Linked DNA regions of Lepisosteus oculatus. The protein of the gene in region 1 interacts with the protein of each later gene in a pairwise test. Links are inferred from orthologs where the notes say so. Each region holds a gene or a part of one and is shown on either strand. Other genes may lie near its edges.

Evidence for each region. The genes of interacting proteins can lie anywhere in the genome.
Region 2: the proteins of rhoj (region 1) and wasla interact in binary tests that used the Homo sapiens proteins (3 or more experiments, as listed by UniProt). The two-hybrid records come from large-scale screens. The link is inferred for Lepisosteus oculatus from reciprocal best matches to the Homo sapiens genes RHOJ and WASL.
Region 3: the proteins of rhoj (region 1) and pak2b interact in binary tests that used the Homo sapiens proteins (3 or more experiments, as listed by UniProt). The two-hybrid records come from large-scale screens. The link is inferred for Lepisosteus oculatus from reciprocal best matches to the Homo sapiens genes RHOJ and PAK2.

Annotation. Positions count from the first base shown.
Region 1 is NC_090703.1:7,695,029-7,702,353, reverse strand, and holds the start of rhoj (rho-related GTP-binding protein RhoJ), read right to left. Parts: upstream 3,016-7,325; 5' UTR 3,010-3,015; coding exon 2,835-3,009; intron 1-2,834.
Region 2 is NC_090702.1:38,463,090-38,470,090, forward strand, and holds the start of wasla (WASP like actin nucleation promoting factor a), read right to left. Parts: upstream 3,025-7,001; 5' UTR 2,465-3,024; coding exon 2,354-2,464; intron 1-2,353. UniProt on the Homo sapiens protein: Regulates actin polymerization by stimulating the actin-nucleating activity of the Arp2/3 complex. Involved in various processes, such as mitosis and cytokinesis, via its role in the regulation of actin polymerization.
Region 3 is NC_090708.1:10,584,879-10,592,663, reverse strand, and holds the start of pak2b (serine/threonine-protein kinase PAK 2b), read right to left. Parts: upstream 3,025-7,785; 5' UTR 2,758-3,024; intron 1-2,757. Other genes in the region: pigx (phosphatidylinositol-glycan biosynthesis class X protein), read right to left, coding at 4,153-4,320, 4,745-4,845, 5,511-5,724, 6,404-6,539, 6,736-6,817, 7,609-7,675. UniProt on the Homo sapiens protein: Serine/threonine protein kinase that plays a role in a variety of different signaling pathways including cytoskeleton regulation, cell motility, cell cycle progression, apoptosis or proliferation.

The DNA.
Region 1 (7,325 bases):
ACCTTGACATAGTGAGCATGGAGGCTGTCAGACCTCTCTTCCACTGTTGCACAGAATTACAAGGTCTCTCCAGGGCATGCTGCTGTGTAGGATATCTCCCAGACTCTGATGCATGCACAGTCACCATCCTCACAGAAAAGTTCATTTTAATGGTATTTCCTATGTGGGCTTCCATTCTGCATCACCAAGTTAATTGATAAACCTGTACACGGTCTGTCAGCCTCAGGTTTAGAACAACTTTCTAAAATCTCCTAGCATTCCTTGAAGTTAAAGCATTGTTTCCTTTCTTTCCATTTAGTCAAACTATAGTTGCCCTCTCCTTTCTTAGCTGATGTGTTATTTATTCAGCATGATTTGGTGGTTTCTTGAATTGTTAACAATTGTGATTTTAATTAAACGCAGTTTTGTATATTGAGTGACAACACAGTTCCCCATTGAAATGTGTTGACAGAAAAGCTACAGATTACTGCACACTGTCATCACTGAACAGCACAATTCTAATGTTTATTAGACAACACAACAAGATCTAAAAAGCAAAGGGGCTTATTACATTAGCTTTGTTTTTTTTTATGAATCTTCTGTAGTTGGAACTTAGTTTGGAAAACTGCAGGGCCTTTAAAATCAACTACATGCAATTGTTTTTCAGATACAACAATGTGACCATTCTAAACCAAACCCCTTTTTCTTTAAAAAGTGTAAATTCTGCCATTAAATAGCATTGTATAAATGTAGGGTAGATACAGAAAACATTATTCTGTCCCGTCCCCCCTAAAAGAATCTGATTTTTAAAAACATTATCAAGCCTTACCCCATCTCTGAAACATTTCATCTAATTTAAATATGAACAATTTCCGTCAAGACCAGCAAAATGTTTTTAGTGCTTTTCTTTTTCAAGATTATAACCTTAATCTTATCTAGAACGTTGATCATGTTACTTATGGAATAAAAACAGCATTAGCAGCTTAGCCACTGTGTTTTTCTGCTTTTGAGAGACTTTAAGTTTCATAACTGTAGAAGAACTTCAATATTGGAACATAATCTTCAAGCAGCTCATTAAGGTTGCAAAGAGTTAATATTTTAAATGTATTTGAATGTTTGTACTAGTTATCGAAGCCTCTACTTTGAAATGTCCGATGGATTTCCGAAAATACATACACCCCCCTTTTGGGCCAGTGGACAATTGGCATAAAGTTCATATGAGTGGAAAAAAATGTGAATCTTTAATCCTGTGATTTAAATCCTGCTTTTCTCATATTCCCACTGGATCTGACATGTGTTCAAAAATGATGTCAGTCCTTCCAGGAATGAAGTGATACAAGAACTACGGTCATATTACCATATCCTCCCATCTTTCAGGAAGCAGTCCGAGACTCTATGACTGTGTATTCAAGTATGTCTGTCTCACCAGCTGCCTATCAGTTTGACTGACACCCAAAGAGCAGTGGAGCCCTGCACCCAGGCTAATTCTCTCACCCATCCTGGCACCTGTACAATACGACCAGGGCAAAAAAATACTGAGACGGTTCCAGACCAGAGCCAGTGTCCTGTCTGCCACAGAAACTTAAGTCTAATTTAATTCCCTATTTCTCTATTATTTCCTCTACTTTTTGTAGAGGCAGCTACTGATGTCAAGATTCTCAAGAGGAACAGTGAATCCAGATAGTAACAATATAGTGATAATTGTATACACGCACTTTGCCACTCTATAGAATAATTCCCTAGAAATAAGCTCCAGAAAAACCTGTACCATAGTAGCAGTTTGCAAAACAATTACCATTTTTGGATCTGTTTCTTCATAAGCTTTTTGACCTGCCTGTTGTATTAAATGCATGTTCTAAGATTTGTACTCTTAGCGTTTTCAACAGGTTTTGAAAAACACATAATTACATCAAGCCCCTGGGGTCAGACTGTGTTTAGGTGGCTGGCTTTTGTCTGCACGCTCGTTTAAGCTGTGAAAATAACCACAGCTTGTTGCTCTTGGAAAAAAAAATCAAGGCCAGTGCAATTCAAAATATTTTCACAACAGGCTCCACAATTAGCATTATGGGATGCATTTGAGCGGTTTTGTTAATATCGACCCGTCTTCAAGCAAGTTATAATTAGTGGGACCCACTAATGGCACGGTTTGTTTTCGTTTGCTCTTCGGTCAAGAGGAAAGGCGCTTTTCTCCTTGTTACCTAACATTACGCAATGATGACAGCTGGTATTTCGTGTCAGAGACAGATAGCGGTACCCACGTCTGTCCGGGGAGCAAGTATTCCACAACCCGAGCCTTGCTGACACGGAGGAAATAAGATACTGTAGCACTATTGTGTGCAATCGCAATGATCTAATTATACTCCACAATTCACCTTTTCACTTGGACTCACCACTCCGCACCGCCAAACAATTACAGTAAGCCGAAAGGGTCGAAATCACGTTTTTAGGACTCGAACCCACAAATCGACCCCAATAAGTATTTTTACCCTTCCCCACTTTTGAGTGCGCCAAGAAAAGTCAGTTGGTCTAAAGCACAGAAAAGTGCATAAACTTTTTCTGTGTTTTGTTATAACCCAGCGCCCCCATGGATTCTCTTTTTTTTTTAAATATAAAACCACGTGTCAAGTTTCGCCTTTGAATTTTTAAAAGCCCTTCTCTAGCAGGCAGCCGTCTGCCGCCACCAGCCCCAGGCCCGGGTAACGTCCTCGGGCTAGCAGTTACGCTCGTCTCCCCCGTCCTCGCCCTCCGTCGCCGAGCCCGGCCCGTCCCTGAAGACCCCCTGGCCTCACGGAGATCGGAGGGGGGGGCGGGCTGTGTCCAGGCAACCGCGCACGGTCGGCGGCACTGTACTCTACCTGCATAGTGGTCAAACACCGTGGGCACGTACTCCTCCGGGAAGGCGTCGTTGGCATAGCTCATCAGCAGACAGGTCTTCCCCACTGCCCCGTCGCCCACCACGACACACTTCAGCATCTTTTTCACATTATTCCGAAAGCTACCGCCGCTGCCATCTTCCTCCCTAATTTCCATCCTGCTTCGCCCGCTACCAGCATGGACAGAAAAAGTCGCCCGAACTTCTTCTCTCTATATTTATATTTTGTATTTCTTACTGCGGGTATATTTCGCAGCGCATCGCGTTTTCCCGGGAGAGGGGGGTGGTGGTAGAAGATTTACTTCTGCCCCTTGCGTTACAGAAAGACCGGTAAGAGATCGAGAAGTTTTGGTTTGTTTTTTTTTTTGTTTGTTTTCGCTTTCCTCGCTTCTTCCCGTTGAGTCGAGGATCAGAAAATCTGCAAGTCTGCTAGCCCCGGCTTCGGCGCTGGTAGGACTGGTCGCTGCGAGGGCTCAGCGCCGGGGAAGAAAACTTCACGAAGGTTGTCACGGTTAGGCTCGGGAAAGCGTCGCATCCCGTTTAAAATCCTCGGCGGGTCTCCCGGAATGAGAAGAACGGCTTGGTGGGCGATCGCTTCTTTGTTATTTTGCCGGCTGTATCTTTTTATTTTTTCCTCCTTTCCCCCCCCAGTTCCCTGAGATTGGTTTCTGACCCCCCGATCGCTCTCCGCTGCTTCGCTACAGTGTCAGGAAATCATGGGTTTCCTAGCGAATTCCATATTAGGCAGAGTGGGCTGGGAACAATGGTAGGTCTGTGCCTTATGTCCAACACAGGAACTGCACCCGAGCTGGGGGAGGAAAATCCCAGGACACCGGCGCTGCTTCCTTTTACCTTCGGTTTACCCTCCAAATGGGACGAAACCGCGCTGGGGACGGGTAACGGGCTGTTATTAAGGATGGGGATTCAGAACGCCTGCCGAGAATCCCGTTTTGCGGGGAATCGACTGGATCCGTCCCGGCTCAGAGATCTAGCGCCCGGGCGTCTTTATTTTTCTCCAGATGTTTGCGGAGCCGTTAGTTTGAAACTTGAACCGCTTCCTCGGTGCATGGTGGTTTCAGCCGGTGGGTTTTTAATAGCACCGCACGGAAAACTGAGGTCTGCGCGCCCGCCTCTGAAATGACTGCATTTTTTTTTTTACCAGCGTGAGAAGCCTTTCACGGAGCGTTCAACTGAAAGAAAAAAAAATCTGCTGCTGTTTTTGGGTGAGGTAAAAAAAAGACTTCACCTTTTCGTTCAAATAGGTTTTTCAAACATGTTTCGCACTTTTATCACATCATTTACTTACTACCTACAGCTACGAATAGCACAGCAGGTTCAGTTCAACACTAAGAAAACGGACCGTTTATAAAATAAAATAATGTACGGAACTGGGGGGGAATCAGACTGCAATTCACCTTGTCCTGACACTATAGTTTCATGAGCACGGTGCACCAAAGAAATTTCAATGTGCACTAAAAACAAAACAGTCTCAAAAATAGTTTTGTACATGCAGCTGTAGTTCCGCTGATTTGGAGGGTGTGTGGAGAGCTGTCTTTAATATCAGCTGGTTTATCAGCGTAACGGGGCAGCTGCTGGAAGTCATAAGCAGTACTGTAGTTTGGACATCTTACAGCGCGTTTTTTTTAGCTTGTAAACCAGCAAAAGTCCGTTTAGTGATATTATACAGCGGAATCATTCTTGTCGTCGAACAGACTTTACAGCAAATTGTGCAAAGATTAACACGTGGAGAAAAATAAGAGCAGACCCACCCACACACAGGAAATCTGTTAATATAATGCAAATATTTGATTTCGTACTTTATAGCTTATGTAGATACATTCCAGGTTATGTATAATATTTATGAAGTAATGAAAGTACAATTTAAGTAAAAACAGAACAAAAAAGTAACATAAACTTTCAGATCACCTTCCTCTAAACCTCCCAGCGAACAACACGAGCCAGTATTTACCAGCGATTATTTCGACCCACTAATGTTATTTGCTGAGGTTATCAGAAAACAATAGGGTAGATAAGATAATTACTGCATAGCTGTTTAATTCACACCTGCCACTGACAAAGCCTAATTAGTCACAGCTGCTCTTAATTAAGCACTGTTAACCAATTGATCTCTTAATGCAAATCCAGTCCTTTCGGGACTGCGAAATATAGCGACTTGAATGTGGAATTGTGAAGAGTTTCGTGCATCTACCTCTGGGGTCCTATAGGACCATTCGACAGATGTCTAAATCACTACTTGTTGAATTTCGGGGGGGGGGCAGTCTTGATCACTTCATCCCAAGAATGGTAAAAAAAAAATCCCAGTATTGTGTACCTTTCCTCACTGTAAATATCTGCACTACACAAACACATATGCCAACCTATCAAGTTTCATTTTTTTTGTTTTTTTTTAAATAGTAACATTTGAATGAATCGCGCACTTGTACTGAGTTGTTATTTGATTAATACGCAACACTCCACCCACCCCTTTCCCAACCCTTATATCCAGTACAGCAGGGCTTCCCAGTCCTGGTCGTGCAGACCCACACACACCTGTTGGTTCTTGTTCCAGGCGAGCCCTCAGATACACAATCTGACCCCTCATTTGACTCAATAACAACTAGGGACTGGAAACAAAATGCAGATATTCAATTGGAGCAACTTCTCAGATCCACCAAGGCATCGGTTACCTAGTGACGGTGGGATAGGATGAAACAGAGCAGGCACGTGGTCACGGTGGGCACCCGAGCCTGTCCCGGCAAGCAGGGCGCACGAGGAGGGATACATCCAGGACGGGACGCGAGTCCATCGGGGGGGCCAACACGGACAAACAGTCACAGTAGGGCTAATTGTCCCACGGCAAAAAACCCATGTCAATATGGGAGAACATGCGAACTCCACACGGACAGCATCCCAAGCATTGAACCCAGCGCTGTGAATCAGCAATGCTAACTCCCGTGCCACTGTCCCTACAGCACTCTTACACTAATACACGTATGATCCAATTCAAGGGTTACTACATGTTTGTAATGCTCTCTACCATTTTCTCCCTCGAAAAACAGATTATCCTTTCCGACAACAACATCAAAGAGGCTAAGGAATTTCTACGGCTGACAGCTCCACACCATCTTCCCTTCATAACTAACCTCATTAGATCTCTCAACTCTAAACTCTACCAGTTTCGCACTACAGAGAAGGACAAAAAACTCAGCAGCTCACACCTGAAGAAGGCTCCACGGCCGAAACGTTGTGTTCTCTTTCTTCTTTTTTTCAGCATGGAATAAACCTATTACTTGTTCCTTTGTAACGCTTACCCCTTACAGTATTGAACAACATCTGATCTTAGGGTTGACTCCAGACTCCTGACTGAACCAAGAACCCGATTGGCTCTTACTCATATGATAACACGCTGAGAGCCGCAACTGAGGGTGGTGGTTTGTTTTTTTTGTGTGCAAACTGATTGATTTCACGTGACTGCCCACAGGTGGAATTCTGAGAGAAAGAAGCCCTTCCCAAAAATCCCATGTCCTCCTCACGCGTGTAAGCTTACGTTTAGGCTACCACTCCTGGTATTTACAATTTCGGTAAGCCTGTTCTTTCACAGACAAGCACGGAAAAAAAGTCCGTCAAGTGAGTAATCAAGCGAGGGACGGAGGTCTGAGTAAGTCAGAAGTCCGCGTGTTCGCCACACTTACCAATGTGCTTGATCGGACATAGCAACGATTTTCCAGAAGTGATGGAGCTGATGTTCCAGATATAAATAAATCCCAGAGAGGCGAGACCGGTGCGAAGACCCAGTCAGTCAGGGAGACTGGCGGAGCTGCTCCCGGCTCCTATGAGACACACACCGTTATACCAGACGTCATTTTAATTTCACATACCTCTGTTTTCCCACGATCAGGTTCCCTAGAGAATTCTTAATTTTGATGTCCAATTTTTTTTTATCGTCAGATTTCAGAAGTGTCGACAGCCTGGTTTTACTGTTTGCTTTAGATGTTGAAGTAATTAAGAAGGAAATCAAGCGTTGCAGGAGATTAACAGCCTCGATCCTAAGTGTTCATAAATTAGGACCGGCTCCTCCTGTCTGTAACCCCCACAGGTCCGTTGTTGCCATAGACCTCTCCCTAATTGCAGTTCCAGTCTTAATCAGCGCTTCTCATGGGGAAACACACCTACCCATGTTACGGTCGGGTACCAACAAAAAAAAGGAAACGCATCTACACGTGTGTATTTCAGAAACCTTTGAACAACGGTGGAGCACTGTTGGTCTTTTCTTCCATTTTTCTCTGCCTCGCCTGAAAGCGACAATCCCCCGCCCCCCATAATATCAAGGCGCTAGCTGCGCACCCCTATCTCCATGGCACCTCTACCGCCGCCGGAGAATCCGGCGCCTCCAGGCTGGAGCGCTCGAGTGGGAGTGCGCAGGCGCGCCCAGCCGGGGAGCCCGCAGTTTACAGAGCAGCGAGCGCCAGTGGCA
Region 2 (7,001 bases), on another chromosome or scaffold:
AAAGTCAAAAGGTTTTTCATTGCTGAGTGAATATGAAGTCATGGACAGCGAGTAAAAATACCACTTACGAAATATGACTTATTACAACATTATTGATCCTTCCCTACAGAAAACCTTACAAGATGATTAATTTCATATATGATATGGGTCATTATATGAATTGATTCATGTGCAGCAGTTCAGTTTTCATTTTCAAACTAGTTTTCATATGCCTTCAGAAACTAATACTTTTATTCCCTAAATGTCAGTGTATTTAGGGTCTGTGCATCTCAATAAAATATTACAAAACATGTTTCTATAAAGACATTTGTAGACAGTGAAGGCAGAAATTAGGTTTTTACAAACACTAAGCCTTCACAAATTTTGGGGAAATCTCAAATATGATAATACAGAAAAAAAGACAATATATAAATAATGGAACAAGTATAAATTAATATTAGCTGTTCAGCATTCTTCAGGTGCAAGGCTCAAAACTTCAACAGCTGACATGGGTTTCGTTTCTACTTTTCAGTGTACAATTAACCAAAAGTTTCTGCTTTGCAATCTGCATACTCTCAAATCTCTAGGTATAGGTATAGTGTTTTACACTGATGGAGAGGAGATGTATTTCAGATTAAAAAGCACATCCATTAAATAACTTAATTTGTTAGATAGTCATAAAAAATGGTAAGCACAGTAAATCTAAAGACTTGTGCAACATTTTTCACGTGTTTTTTTTTTCTTTTGACCGGGTATCATAAATGTGTAGGTAACTGCTATTAACCTGGGAGAACCCCTTTTCACTAATTTAAAAACTGTCACAATTTAACATCGCTCCAGATAACTATTCATGTTTACGTACGTTTATAAACGAGCTACAATAACTTTATCACAGCATGCATAAATGCTTGACAAAGTACATCAACACTTGTGCTGAACAGAGCAACAGAAAAACATTTTACAATTTAGGAGACTTTGTTGCTACTAAGCCACTTTAATGCGACAGTGATAAAATGCCGCATAGTAAACCTTACAGTAATTCTAATGAATCGCGTCTCTTTCTGGTATCCACAATGAAGTGATTAAATAGATATGTATGCAGGAATAAAGATCTTTTAAAAAGCTGCGTGTGCGTTTTAACAACTGCTGCATGAGAAAGGGACGAAATCTTGATGACGCATGATCAGGTGACAGCACAATAGATACTTCGCTGAGATGAGGACTGTTAATCGCAGGCTTCTGAAGTTCTTAAATTATAACTGCTATAGGCAGGGATTTAATAAGTATCATGATTTAATAAACAACCTCATATGAAAAACAAAAAGCCGTTTAACGAAACACAGTCCAGTTCAAAATGAATTCGATTGCAAGATTTTTTTTTTACATAATGTTTTCAAATTACCTCCTGTTGAAGTTACAAAGTTATAGTGAATGGTTCACTTCACTTGGCTACCTCTGCAAGAAGCTTGTCTTAGTTCACAACGACACTAACTCCCCGCAGCAGGTGAGTAAGGCAGGTATAGGGCGTTACAAGGCGAAAATATCCATAACGCCCTTGAAGGCTCCTTTTTGGAAACATACAGGCCCTGTATCAACAGGAACATGCTGTAACACTAATGCAGAAATTACTCAGTCGACTATTAGCGCCCTCGGACTCAACTGAACATACTGTAACTTATGGCACCCCCACCTCTCCTGAGATTCTCCTGATATATTTGAACATTCAAAAATTAACACAACTGAGTTTAGGCATCCCTTTAACCCCTGCCATCCCCTCGCTTTCCCAGTTTCTTAAACGCAATGACATTTTCCGGAGAATGTTATGAAAAAAAAAAACAAATCAACATTAGAACAAGCGACAGTACAGCGGCACTATCTTATTCTGCTGCTGAGTGATCCGAGTGGAGCAAAAACAGTGTTATGTAATGGAATCCCTCATAGAATGTGCTTTCCAGCTGACCGAACTTGCCAGCTCCATATTCGATGAGGAAAATAAACAGGCACCGCGGAGCGCAGAGGTTCCGGCTCGCGCTCCGGACGCCGTCGGACACGAACGCGGCCTCGGGGCTCCCCTGCCTTGTCACACCGACCTCCGGACAGCCAGTGCCAGGACAGCACGCTCCATATCCACGCTCTTAAACCCACAACCGTACACGCAAGCATTAACCTAAGACCAAGGGGATCCAGGCACTGTTGTTTTGCTTCACTTTAGTTCTCTTTAGAAAAAAAAAACCCAATGCAGTTTAGGCCGTTTTTAATGAAAAACTTGGCCGATAATTTGTTTTAAGATAATTACAAGAAGATCCCATACTTGTCTACAAGTTATAATAGTATGGACGAGACTAAAATCGAGTAAGTAAATGTTAAAACTTACGATGCATTTCCTGCCGAGGCAATTGAAGAGGCATTCGTTTTCTTGTGGGGTGAGAAGCATAGAGCTCACATTTGTGACACGCCGCGGCGGAGGGGGATGTTGGCTATTCATGATTGCAGGGGTAAAAAGCCAGACGAATATATGTATATAACACTAATTAAGGTATTTTATAAAATGTCTTCAGTCATTGATCAGCGTGGCCTTCCACCGGATCTTCTCATTGATGCTGTAGGTGCTTCTCTCCGAGAGGAATGCGACGGGGGTGGGGGGGTTAAATACTGTTCTGTTTCTGTAGTTTGGGTATTTAATGCAAACAATCCCTCGGCCTTCCGAAGTGCCCCAGAAACTTGGATCTCTCGGTTGGACAAAAACCTAAACTTTCATCCGAACTCCAACAGCAGCATCGGCAGCTCTATCCAACATGGCAGCAGGAAGAAACAACCACTAACCAAACGGGGGAATGCGGGAAAACATAGCGAGCTGGATTCAACTTCGTCCCTTCTTAAAGCTGTCCGGGGATGGTAAAATCAATCTTGATTGCAGCAGCAGGTACGCCGCTCATCCCTGATAGCAGAGAAAGCCAGGAGTGTAAAATTGCCCAGCGCCTCCGGAAACACTTCCTTGTGTCAGGGAATGGTCTAGCCCTGTTGGCCTGTGGATTTTGTAACAAATGCAGTATGCAGAGGGGTGAGCATTTAGCAGGGCGGGGACAAGAGGAGCGTGTTGCCAAGTTGGTGCTAATGTAAACTAAGGGGTGCAGTAAATCCGGACGTAATATAAGTCAAACACTTTGTGCCTTAGAGCAATTTTTGTATTTCTATAATTGTGTTAAATATGAAAATCCTACTCTGTAATCCTTTGTTATTTTCAGCTTCATTACCTAGGTTTTTAATAACATTTGCCTAGCAGACGCCCATACCCAGAGCCGCTTACAAAATATACAGTAATACACAACATACTTCCAAAACTTAATCAGCTTCATAACAACAGCAACAGCAGTGCAGTTGTAATAATAACAATTGTTTTTTTGTTGTTGTTAGTAGTTTAGTAAATAACTTACTACAAATTGACTTGCATCATAATTTCTGTGATGTCGGGTGGAGTGTCTTTAAGTCGCAATTAAAGGACATCATTTTTGAATTGTCTGACATTGTGCTGTTGAGGGCGCTGAAAATCAATGGATCTAGTTTAGACCACCATTTGCGTTTAACTTAATAGCATAACTAATGAATGTTTAGGGAGACGGGACAAATTAATTGGTGCGTTGAGAGCAAAATGGGAAACCAGGAAAGTAAATTTGCGTTTTGTGATATCTGTGCACTGCCATACTATTCAACTATGAAAGTCAATGCATTTTACACATTAGATACTGAATTTCTTCAATTCAATTCTTTTATTCCACTTTGTCAGCGAATACCTAGCCCCAGGGGTACCTAATCACGATGCCAAATAAGGTATCGTTCTATTTAAATGCCTTAATTCAGTTTTAAAGCAGATAAAGCACTCATTTTATAGTTTAGAACAGAATTATATCAGTCATGTTTGTCACTAGACTTCTCACACTTAAGCAATATTAAAGGACAGTTCTAGGAAATATTTTTTTTATAAAATGTCATGTTGCATTATAAACATTAAAGGTAAAGAACAGAAACCAACAGAAACTACAGTATGAATCCTCTGGGAATGGGGAAGAAAAAATTGTTTTCTGAGTCACATGAACATTCAGAGATCAGATTACCAGAATTTGTAATTGTTCTACAAATGGTATGCATCTTGTACTAATGGATGAATTTGTCAGATGTCTTTAATTACTGTGGTGATGATATACAGCTTCAAAATTTTGTAAAAATCCAGAGGTGGGGACAGAGAGGCTCCTACTGTAGGTTACAATTTGAAATTCCAGTTCAAAAACAGGTCAAATTATCTAGGTTTGTAACCCAGACTTAATTATACATATTTATACCTTCTAATGATACCAAGCTCCATTGAAGCAAATTTCATTAAGGTTCAAAATGGCTTTCTCAATAAGAGAGTGTACAGTACATACATATCATCTGCAAAGCTTTGTAGGAAGACAGAAAAGAAGCCTTTGTGTGAAGACAAATGATAAGAAGCAGTGTCCAGCAGTAAGAAAGTCAGGGTTCTGGATTCCAGCTGGAAAGTCAAGGGTTTTAACCCTGAATGGAACACTGCAGTTGCATCCTTGAGCATTAATCACAAATGCAAGTTTTTTTTAAATAATAATGTCACCCAAATACAAAAACAAATGTTGAGAAGAATGATGACCAGGTTTAGTAAGATAAAGCTCAATTTGTATGGCATAAAGAGAACATATTAATAACATTGATTAATTGTTCTTGCTAAATCCTTACGTTTTGTCCCTAAAATACTGAATATCAGCTAAAATCTATTGACTCTGTTAACTAGAATCATCTTTATAATTATGGATACATTACAACATAACCAATAGAATAAGTCTTCAACAGGTGTTTATTTTTATGTAATTATTATCTTATATATGGTACATAAATTCTTAACAGGATTTGTTTTTAATCTTTTACCACCGAAATAGCTGACTTGTTTTACTGTCGCACATCAGAATCCACTGATATATCCTTGTTACAGATTTGCCAGAGTAGGTGAGATGTTTGTGCATGCAGACATAATTAAGCAAGTTTGCAAACATTTTTTTGGATGAGCTAAAATCATCTAGGCTATGTCTATTTATGAGCTAAGGAATGGCATCAGTGAAAGACCATTCCTACTGTATGGAGCTTGGAGAGGAGCCTGTCCCTGCCTCAGAGGATTTAGTGTCTATATACTGTATAACTCTCCACTGCCTTTTTCATAAGAATTTACTTAATTTAATCTTTACAACTGAATTCTTGTCAGCTGTATATTCTTAAATGGTAAAATACTTATATTTGAATCTAATATCCCTTGTGATGTATTTGGCCATTTGAATGGTTTCATTCAGGTTTCTATTTGATTTTGCATTAATTTGGGCATTTTCTGCCTGTCAAAGGGAATTCAGCGCTTATTAATTATTTAACATAGTTTTAAAACCACTGTTTCCAATGTTATCCTTACCAATACTGAGAATGAGTTTTCTGAATCATAGAAATGCTAGAGGTTTAATACACACTTAGGATTATGTTTGTAATTCCTGCTTTTCTGGTAATGTTAAAAGGGTAGGGGTGTTATCTCAGTGTCCTGGCCAAATTTCCCATTGGCCTTTACCACTCATGGCCTCCTAATAATCCCCATCTCTCAATTGGCTTTATCATTCTATTCTCTTCTAGTCTTCTGGCGCACTATAACTGACGTCACATCATCCAGGTTGGTGCTGCATTGTTGGTGGTGGAGGGGAGCCCCCATTACATGTAAATCATTTTGTAAATCACTTTGAGCGCTATATAAGTGTAAGGACCTGTTGTTGTTATTGTTAATAATAATAATAATAAAAAAAAAATACTTTTTCAACAATGCAACAGTACTTTATGTTCATTATGTCTGAAAAAATGTTAGTTGTACATTTCATAATACGATTGTGAATATCTGTCTAATATAAACATAGCACTAAAAAATAAATGAATGCAATAAGAACAACTGTGTTTTATAAGCAAAATATACATTGAGAAAAAAAATATTTTGGACAATTTGTTAAAAAATTATTTTAAGCCAGTGTCTGCTCTTTTTACGAAGGACAATTTATTAATATATTTCAGAGAATTAAAATAATGTTTTTCCTCAATACTGTATATTCTAGGTGCTATTGACATTATACTGGCCTTTGTAAATAGTTTTTTACTGATCTGATGCTGTACAGAGTAAACCCCCCCAAAAAAAACTAATATAATCCCTCCAGCTGTAAGGTCTAAAGCTATAATTAAAATAGATTCTTTCTTTCTGGATATACTAGACCAAAGCCCCAATATATGATGATGAAATGTCTTTTCCCTGGAGTGTATAAAATGACATTTGCTTCTAACCACTCCCTCACGGATTCTTTGTCATCAGGAAAAAGGCAGAAAAAAACAGGAAAAACAAGGTGGTTTGGGATTATTTATATAGGGGAACCCTTTAAGAAGAAAGGAAACCTGAACCTGAGTATTAAAAATGCAGCCTGTGTTTCTGAATAGACCATAATATAGATTCTTAATAATCTAAAAAACCAAACACTGAGTACCTACCTTTTTTTTATGAAATCAAATAACTTTATCTGTTTTATTATTCCATTAAATAGTAATACTCAATCAAAAGAAAACTGTTTACTATTTGGAATGGAATATTATAAGCTATTTACTTAAAACTTTATTAAATTACCAGATAGGTCAATTTAAAGCAAATTCCCATTTAGGTCATCCCATTTATGACCTAGGAGGAACCCTTTTCTGGAGCACAGCATTTAGGAGAAATCTTAGTGAGATACATTGCACAAGGGTACAACAGCAGAATATGACATGAGATCTGAATCTATAATCCTACTGTTTCAGAGCCTTCACCACTAGTCCACACTGTTGCCTCAACTTAAACTGTTGCATTTTCATTTTGCATCAGTGTACCATGACTGCATTTCAGACAGCTGTGTGTAGTTATCACTACATATGTGTTGGTTTAGGCCTGAAAATTTGGCCATTTGTGTTTT
Region 3 (7,785 bases), on another chromosome or scaffold:
TTTAAATTAAACTGATGCTAGTGGTTGTTGGGGCACCATGGGACCCTCTAATTTACTGTAAGTGGCACCATACTAACAAAAACTGACATTGTCTGTCCTGGGCTCTAAAGCCTTATTAAACCTCCCCCAACGAATGAAAGAGAAGTTCCATTAAAGCACAACAGGTGCTCTACTACAATTCAAACAGAGAGCAGAATGGCTGTAATAATGTCTGAACTGTGAACCCAGGGGCACTAGCTGGAGAGCACTACCGTGTTGTATAGCACCTAGCATCAGCTGCTGTCATCTGCCAAGTTTTGAAAGCCAGCTGCTGGCTGGCTATGGAGCCTGGCGATATGTTCTACAAGCCGATGAGGCCAGCTTTCATTTCCAGGAGGACCGTCTCCCCCCGTGTGCCTGCCACAAAGCCTGCACTAGAGTGACTGTTTACAGGAAAAGGGGACTTTGAGCCTTTGTATTTGCAGCAGTCTATAAAAGGAAATTCTGAACGGTGCTTCCTGGTGTGAGGTAACCTGCCCCCTTCCTTTCTGTCTGCGAGTCCCATTTCCCCTTGGTGCCTGGTGAAAACAGTGCGGTCTCTCTCTCGGCAGACACATGACACTACTACTCGACCCAGAGGCTCCCTGGGCAGTTCTCACTGATGGAGTGTGTGTACCAGCCTATCTGCTGTCCATCAGCTTTCTGCATTGCTTCACACCCGGGATACACCGCCACCAACCCCTCACGTAATTTCCTCCAATTCCTCTAAAAAACATCTACAAGGAAAAAAAAAAAATCACATTTTTTGCAATCCATGCCCAACGTTTTACCTCGGCTCTGTGTGGCGACAAACTCCAGGAACTCCCTTTTTTCAATAAAATAATGAAAAGAAAACAGACACTGCCATGATAAAAAAAAAGTACATTGCTTTTTGTTTTCACCAAGGTTACAATGGGCTGGCTGAACAGAAGAGGTTATTCGTTTAACACTACCTATCCAAAAGAAAGCAGGTTCCCTATAACATAGAAATGTACTATACTGTTATGCTACAGACATTCAAGTTCAAGTGAAAAAACTGAAAAACGAAAAGTAATGCAATATAGCCAGTGTGGTTTTAACTGGCAAGTTCTCTTTTCTTAGAGCTCTGGTTACTCCACTCACTGAGAAATTGGGCCCTTCTTCTGAACAAGGATAGTATTTTCAAGTGGGCTTAATTTCAAACCATATATACAAACATTACATCACACCGTGTGTGGGAATATTAACACAGGACAGGCAAGACTACATCATACCTATAACCTGCTTCAGCTGTAAAGAAAATGGCCAATAATCCTATAACTTTTAAAAGCAACCATGACTTTTCTTCTAGGAACTCTGCATACTCTGTGTAAAAAACATTTGGCCAGGTGTGCAGGACATCAAATATGGACATAAAACTTAAAACTGTTTATTCAAAATGTAACTAATGAAAGGTTTTGTGCTGTGCTAGTGGCTAAACACATGACTTTCATAATGAGGTATTCGAATGCAGTGCTGCAGTGTCAAGAAAGCACTATCTGCCAATCTTCTTAACTAAATCTCCAGCAAAACATCAGAAACACGCAAAACAAACCTTTTGTTAAACTAGTTCAGGTGGGGAGCTGCGTCAGCATGCGTAGGCTGCAAAGGAACAAGTAATAGGTTTATTCCAAGCTGAAAAGAGAAGAAAGAAAACAACGTTTCTGCAACATTTCGGCTGTATTTCTCACACCTGAAGAAGGCTTCACAGCCGAAACGTTGTGTTTTCTTTCTTCTCTTTTCAGCATGGAATAAACCTATGACTTGCTCCTTTTGTTAAACTGCACTGAACAGCTGATAAAACTCAGATTAAACAGTCTTTGATCAGTTTTGGGGTTTGCAAGCTGTCTTCTCACATGGGTCACCAAGAATGTTTTCTTTTCTTAGAAAAAAAAACACATTACCTCTCGTGGCTGAACATATACAATTTGGGCCATAAATACTTAACTCTCATTAGAGCTTGCACCTTGAACACCAGAGATGGATTAAAATGTATATGAAATAGTGGTCTTCTGAGCTCTCCTCCATTATTTACGATTTTCCTGTATTAAAAAGAGGGACTGGGGAATGACTTATTGTACCAGTCAATATTCTCGTGTATTTCCACCATCCCGTATTATAGTTCACAAAATTAAGTTGAAAATATGATTAATAAAGTAAAATCAAAGAACTGCAATTCGGTGTTAAGTGCAATGGAAAAACGGATAACATTCATTGTCACATTCAATATTACATTAACTGAAATCAGTCGTATCTTGAGTGCTGTTATAATAAAAATTTCCAATGGTGATACATAAACAAGAGTGGAAGGAAAAATGCCAAATATCTCCACTAAAAAGTGTTTTTAGATTATTTTAAATCCTGTTTGTGCAAATTCACATTGAGAGAGCATACACCTGTATTGTTCTTTTTAGACAAAATAAACTATAACCGATTTTTTCTGCTAAAATAAATGCCAGTGACATTTGTCGTCTGTTAAATAAATTCAAAGACTACTTGCAACAATAAAATACGTAATGAAATACGAGACTTTTCACCGATTTCAACTCTTCTGTAAAACTTTTTATATCACGTTTCCGACATAAAGAAGCTACCGGTGTCCTGCCAAATATCACATTCATGCAGTTTCTCGGCAAACATAGTATTTTCGAAACTTACACAATCCAATTTATAAAATATACGAACACCAAAGCAAGTTAAATAATTAACTTCAGGACTCACCAGGCGAAACTCTCAGCTCCAAACTTCCACAAAACTCTTTAGATGCTAGCTCCGCCTCCTACGAGAACCGATAATCAAGAGTTCAGATATCGTTTTTTTAAAATACCACTATTTGAGTGCACTCCCCTTCCCAAATTCTGCCAATACAATATCCAAGCAATTTCTTTCTTTTTCTTGCGTTCCTTTTATATTCTTTTATCTTCTTAGACCGGGACAAACCCGCAATGGCGGAGGGGAAGCGGAACTACCGACCCAACCCAGTGTCGGATGACATTAGAAATTACAATCTAATTGCAATCTGTGTTTTTTTCTTCAGGAGGAATTTTTAACGTTTTAACGTGTGTTGCCTGCTCACTGAAACAAACCCACACGTTTGTAAAAAAAAAACTAATGTTCAGAAAACAAAGACAGCGGGTCCCTGCAGCGCTTCGCACGAAGAGCACTATGGGAGATGTAGTTCTCTCTTCCTCTCGTAGCGTTTTCTGGAAATAGGGCGGTGAAGGAGTCGGGACTGCTTTTCCCAGGAATACACAGAAAGGAGTAGTGTAGGATGTATGAAAGGGAATTGTAGTTCTTTCAGAGTGGTACAACAAGTGCAGGGCATGGTTTTAGAATGAAGTAATTTCACAATTAAATCGAAGCAAACTTTATATACCAGCTCCAATATGTTAAAAGTGCCACCAAAAGCATTCCAAACTGCTCTACAAAAAACAACAGTAACGTAGAAACGAATTAATACTAGGCCTGGACCTGCACATGATCATTACTGATAGCACAACACTAGTCAAATAAACATGATTTTTTGTTCCAAGTCATAATTCCCCTATGACCATTAAATCCACTTAAGGTGAATATGATGTGGATTTTATACATTAATGTTACATTTTTAGTATAATGCATATTTTTACTTTTTGTTTTTGTAAGTTTGAATGTGAAACATAGTTGCAAGGGTGCAAAACAATTTTCCCAACAAATGTTACAGAGTATTAATGAAAGACAGGGAAAAAACTGCTTCAGCTTTGAGGCCTTCTTCAGCTGTGAGCAAACAGATAGTTTAATGTATAAAGAGCAACAAAGCTTGACACCATTTTCGAGTTTTTATTTACTTTTCTGACAAATACAAAACTCCCACACTTAAAGAGATATGTCCACCCAATGCAATGCTAACATGCGGTGTACACGCCCAAAAGACAAATTCACACCAGATGTAGTGGCTGATTATTCTTAGTAGTGGTAGTAGTTTTGCATATCTGTCATCATTTAAGTTTAAACAGAGAATCTACAAATATAAATATGAAGCTTTTAGAATAAATTATTATACATCAGATCTAATGTTTAAAATCCTTTGTCCAGGCAATCACAAACACTTTGGAAAGTCCCTTTGAGGACCGGGCGTCAGGTCCCCTGGCTGACAGGGGGACGAGACTGGAGGAATTCATTTCTCCACACGGCCCCTGCAAGGTAGCCACAGCTCAGCAGGGTCACGAGCAGGGTGGCAGCGGAAACCAATCCAACCAGTCGCATGTCCCCCACGGGGATCTCCAGGCGCAGCGGCCCAGGCTCCTGAAGAGAGTGAGAAGATTGGGCAGCGAAATTTATTTCAGTTTCCGCACAGACCTGATTTCTTAGTGAGACATCAACAGTTTTTTGTTTTTTTTAAGGAAATCGTTATTGGTAGAGTTCTTGGTAACTGAACCCAAGTCATTATGGCCTCCCCTGGTCAAAGTCTCCATATGAGCGGTTTGAAGCTCATCAAACAGATGCCAATGTTACACCCAAATTATCAAGACGGCAGGACAGTACCATGACCAAAGCACCCGAGACAGTAACTATTTTCTGAGACCTTCCTATTTTGCAGCCAGCAACATATCCCATGCTTAAAACTTAAAAATATCTTAGGAGCACACCCAGTAAGAGAGGATAAACATGCATAGTCATTTCTTAGCCCCAGCAGTAGGACCACAGTGACAGACTGGCGACAGTGTACCTGTGCAGAATGTATCTGCAGCCATCTGCACATGCTGTGATTAAGAGCTGTACAGGGGGCGTCCGTCAGTGTATAAGGGATGAAGTTCGGAGGCAGATCACCTGCAAAAAAGCACAAAGGGTCTGCTTTAAGAGGCACGTGTTTTTCTGTACTTTGAAAATACTACAAAACAGTAAACAGCACAAGGAGTAATGTGCTTTCAGGTACAGGATGTTGTACAATCTTTAAATTTAAAAACTTATTCCAAAATGCAAAGTAAGGTATTAATTCCCACTTATTACTTACTAGTAAGTTTTAAGAACAACCCAACAAAGCACAAAACAGAAATGCAATTATATAATGAGTGAAAGCATTGATTTGTATTTTATATTGTTGAGGAAAAGCACTTGTGTTGTATGTGTAGATGTGTTTTCATCATCAGATGACAAGGCAAACAGGAAATAAGACAATTACCCCAAAAGCATGTTTATTAGTGAGTACGGCTCCACAGCTGAGCCTTTTCTGTAGTCTTCAATTTTCTGTAATTTGATTGGAGTGACCGATTCATATTTTTCTGAAGGTGATAACGGATCATGCATTTATTTGAAATTACTCAAGAAGGCTTCTGTTCCTGCTTTGAAAGCTTTTAACATCAGAGACAGACATGTTATTAGTCTGCCCCTGGTGAAACATCATAAAGGCAAAAAAAACTGCTTTGCAAACTGACACACATAGGTCACTATATCAAGAAGAAAGTGCTGCCAGACACACAGACCCGAGGACTCACAGGAGTCTGCTCGGAGCAGCAGGTGGGGGTTCTCGATGTCAATCGGGGCAGTTCTCTTCCCGGAATCTGAAGGACGATGATAGCGCCCATGGATTGGCACAACTGCCTTCAAGCACACAGGAGATGCAGGGTCCCGTGTGGGATAAACTAGGGCAGGAAACGCAGAAGAAACATACGCCGGGGCTTCCACATCAATTTCTGTGTCCAGAAGCACCTGCACAAGGAGATGGAACCCTGTCAGTCCAAAAGAACTGTAAAATTTGCCACCTGATCTCTTTAAAAAAAATGTGGGGCTTCTAAAAGATCTCCGATATTTAATGTGACATAAATGTACTAAAATAGTTATGCATGGTCATGTTTTTTGTTGTTTTTAAAGAGAGTCTTAATCATTTGGCATTTTTAAATCGCTCAATTAACTAGCACTAACCCCCAAGGCATTTTTATGAAATCACCTGACATGAGCTCACCTACCTTATGCAAGAAACTACTGTCCTTAAAATGAAATGAATGCATGTGCCCAAAAGAACTGCTGGTGTAAAACTCAGACCGTGACAGGCACAGCAAAAAAAGTTACAAGCAGAGGTTAATTCCACTCTGAAAAGTAAAACAAAACAGGAAAAGATTTTGGCTGTGGAGGTTTCTTTAGACTTGGCTCTACCTCTCCCCCACCCTAAAAAGAGGCTTCACAGATTACGTTTTTTTTTTCTTTTGTTTCAAAAAGACTAAAAAATTCAAGCAATAGCTTCCTTGTAATGTTGAAATGGAGGGGAAAGAAGATGAAACTTCAGACTAGTACCAGGAGAAAGAAAATCCTCTATACTCCGTATTTGGTGCAGCAAGTTGTGGTTACCATGGTGTGATCCTACTCTCACTACTCCTGTAGTGCCTGTTACCTGTAAGCCAGTGTCGTGTTGTTCTGATGTTAGCTGGTAAGGGTCAATGTAGATTCCTTTGGGAAGCCTCTCCACCAGCAGGAAATGCAGGTTTTTGGGAGACCCCAGGCCACAGCATACACTGGTCACAAGCTCCCTAAATATAGAGCCACAGACTTCAATATTTCACACATATTGCTTACTGAAACTGAGCCATAATGCCCACGGCACATTAATGAAACAGCATGACTAAATCTCACTTCCCTGCTCACAATACAGGTGGCTCACAATACAGCACTGTGTTGTTGTGTTTATAGGCAACTGAAAGATGTATTTCCACAATAAGCAATCACCTGTGAAAACCATTTTTCCTGAGTTCCCTTGACACTGTGAGTGATTCCAGCCATTCCCTTGTGAAGCCACATCTTTCTTCTCCTGCAAAACAGACATCCAGTTACATACCCCAAAACCCCATGTTAAAAAGTTCAAATTAATTTCTGTTTACAATCTTTTATGCTAAGAAGCAGGTGATCAAAGTGTATGAGCTTATCTGTGTATCAAGGTGTATCACTTTGAATATAATATTTAAAACTGCTTCCCAGTAGGTAAATACAAATAAACTTAAATACTGTCAATGCATTCACTGCAAATGTGAAAACAAATGCTGTCAAATTCATGTCCTGTGAAATCAGTTCACTTGGCTGTTCAATCTACTGGATTTTTAATAATACCAGAAATGTAACTAAAATTGGGGAAAAAAAGCGAGAACATTCAATCGATTTATAACTACAATTTGAGTAACACGTAGACTATATTCTTGGGGCAGAATTAATCCAGATCAGACGGTATAATTAACTCAGACTCAGCGTCTCAGGAACAAAAGAATTCACTTCTCGATTTCAAATACAACGTTAGCGTCTTGAAACACGTCAATTGGAACTGCGATCTGTCGTGTTTTTAAAGAGCCTTCAATGAACTTCTGTTAAAAATCATACACATGCGGGTTCTCTTTACAAGGTACAAAAAACATTAGGATTCATTTGAATAATTGGTCGTTGCTAAAATGTTAAATGTTATGTATAGACTAAGTACCATGATCGTGTTTATTAGTAGCAGAATTTCCCGATATTTATACTGAATATTATATTTCATCGTCTCTCCATGACCTCGCTCTTTTTCTGACTACCGAGTCTGATTATCTTGTTGCCAAAAAAAAGTGAATTTACCTGACTGTAAATCTGCTTTAAGGAGCGCTGGAGCTAAAATAAATGCAATTAAATAAACTATTCTCATGGCGTATACATATTCACGAAAATAAACGATAAACGACAAGTAAGGGAAAACACAAAAAATGGTCTATTAAACACTGTCATCCCGGAAAAGAATGGCATCAAACTTGACAA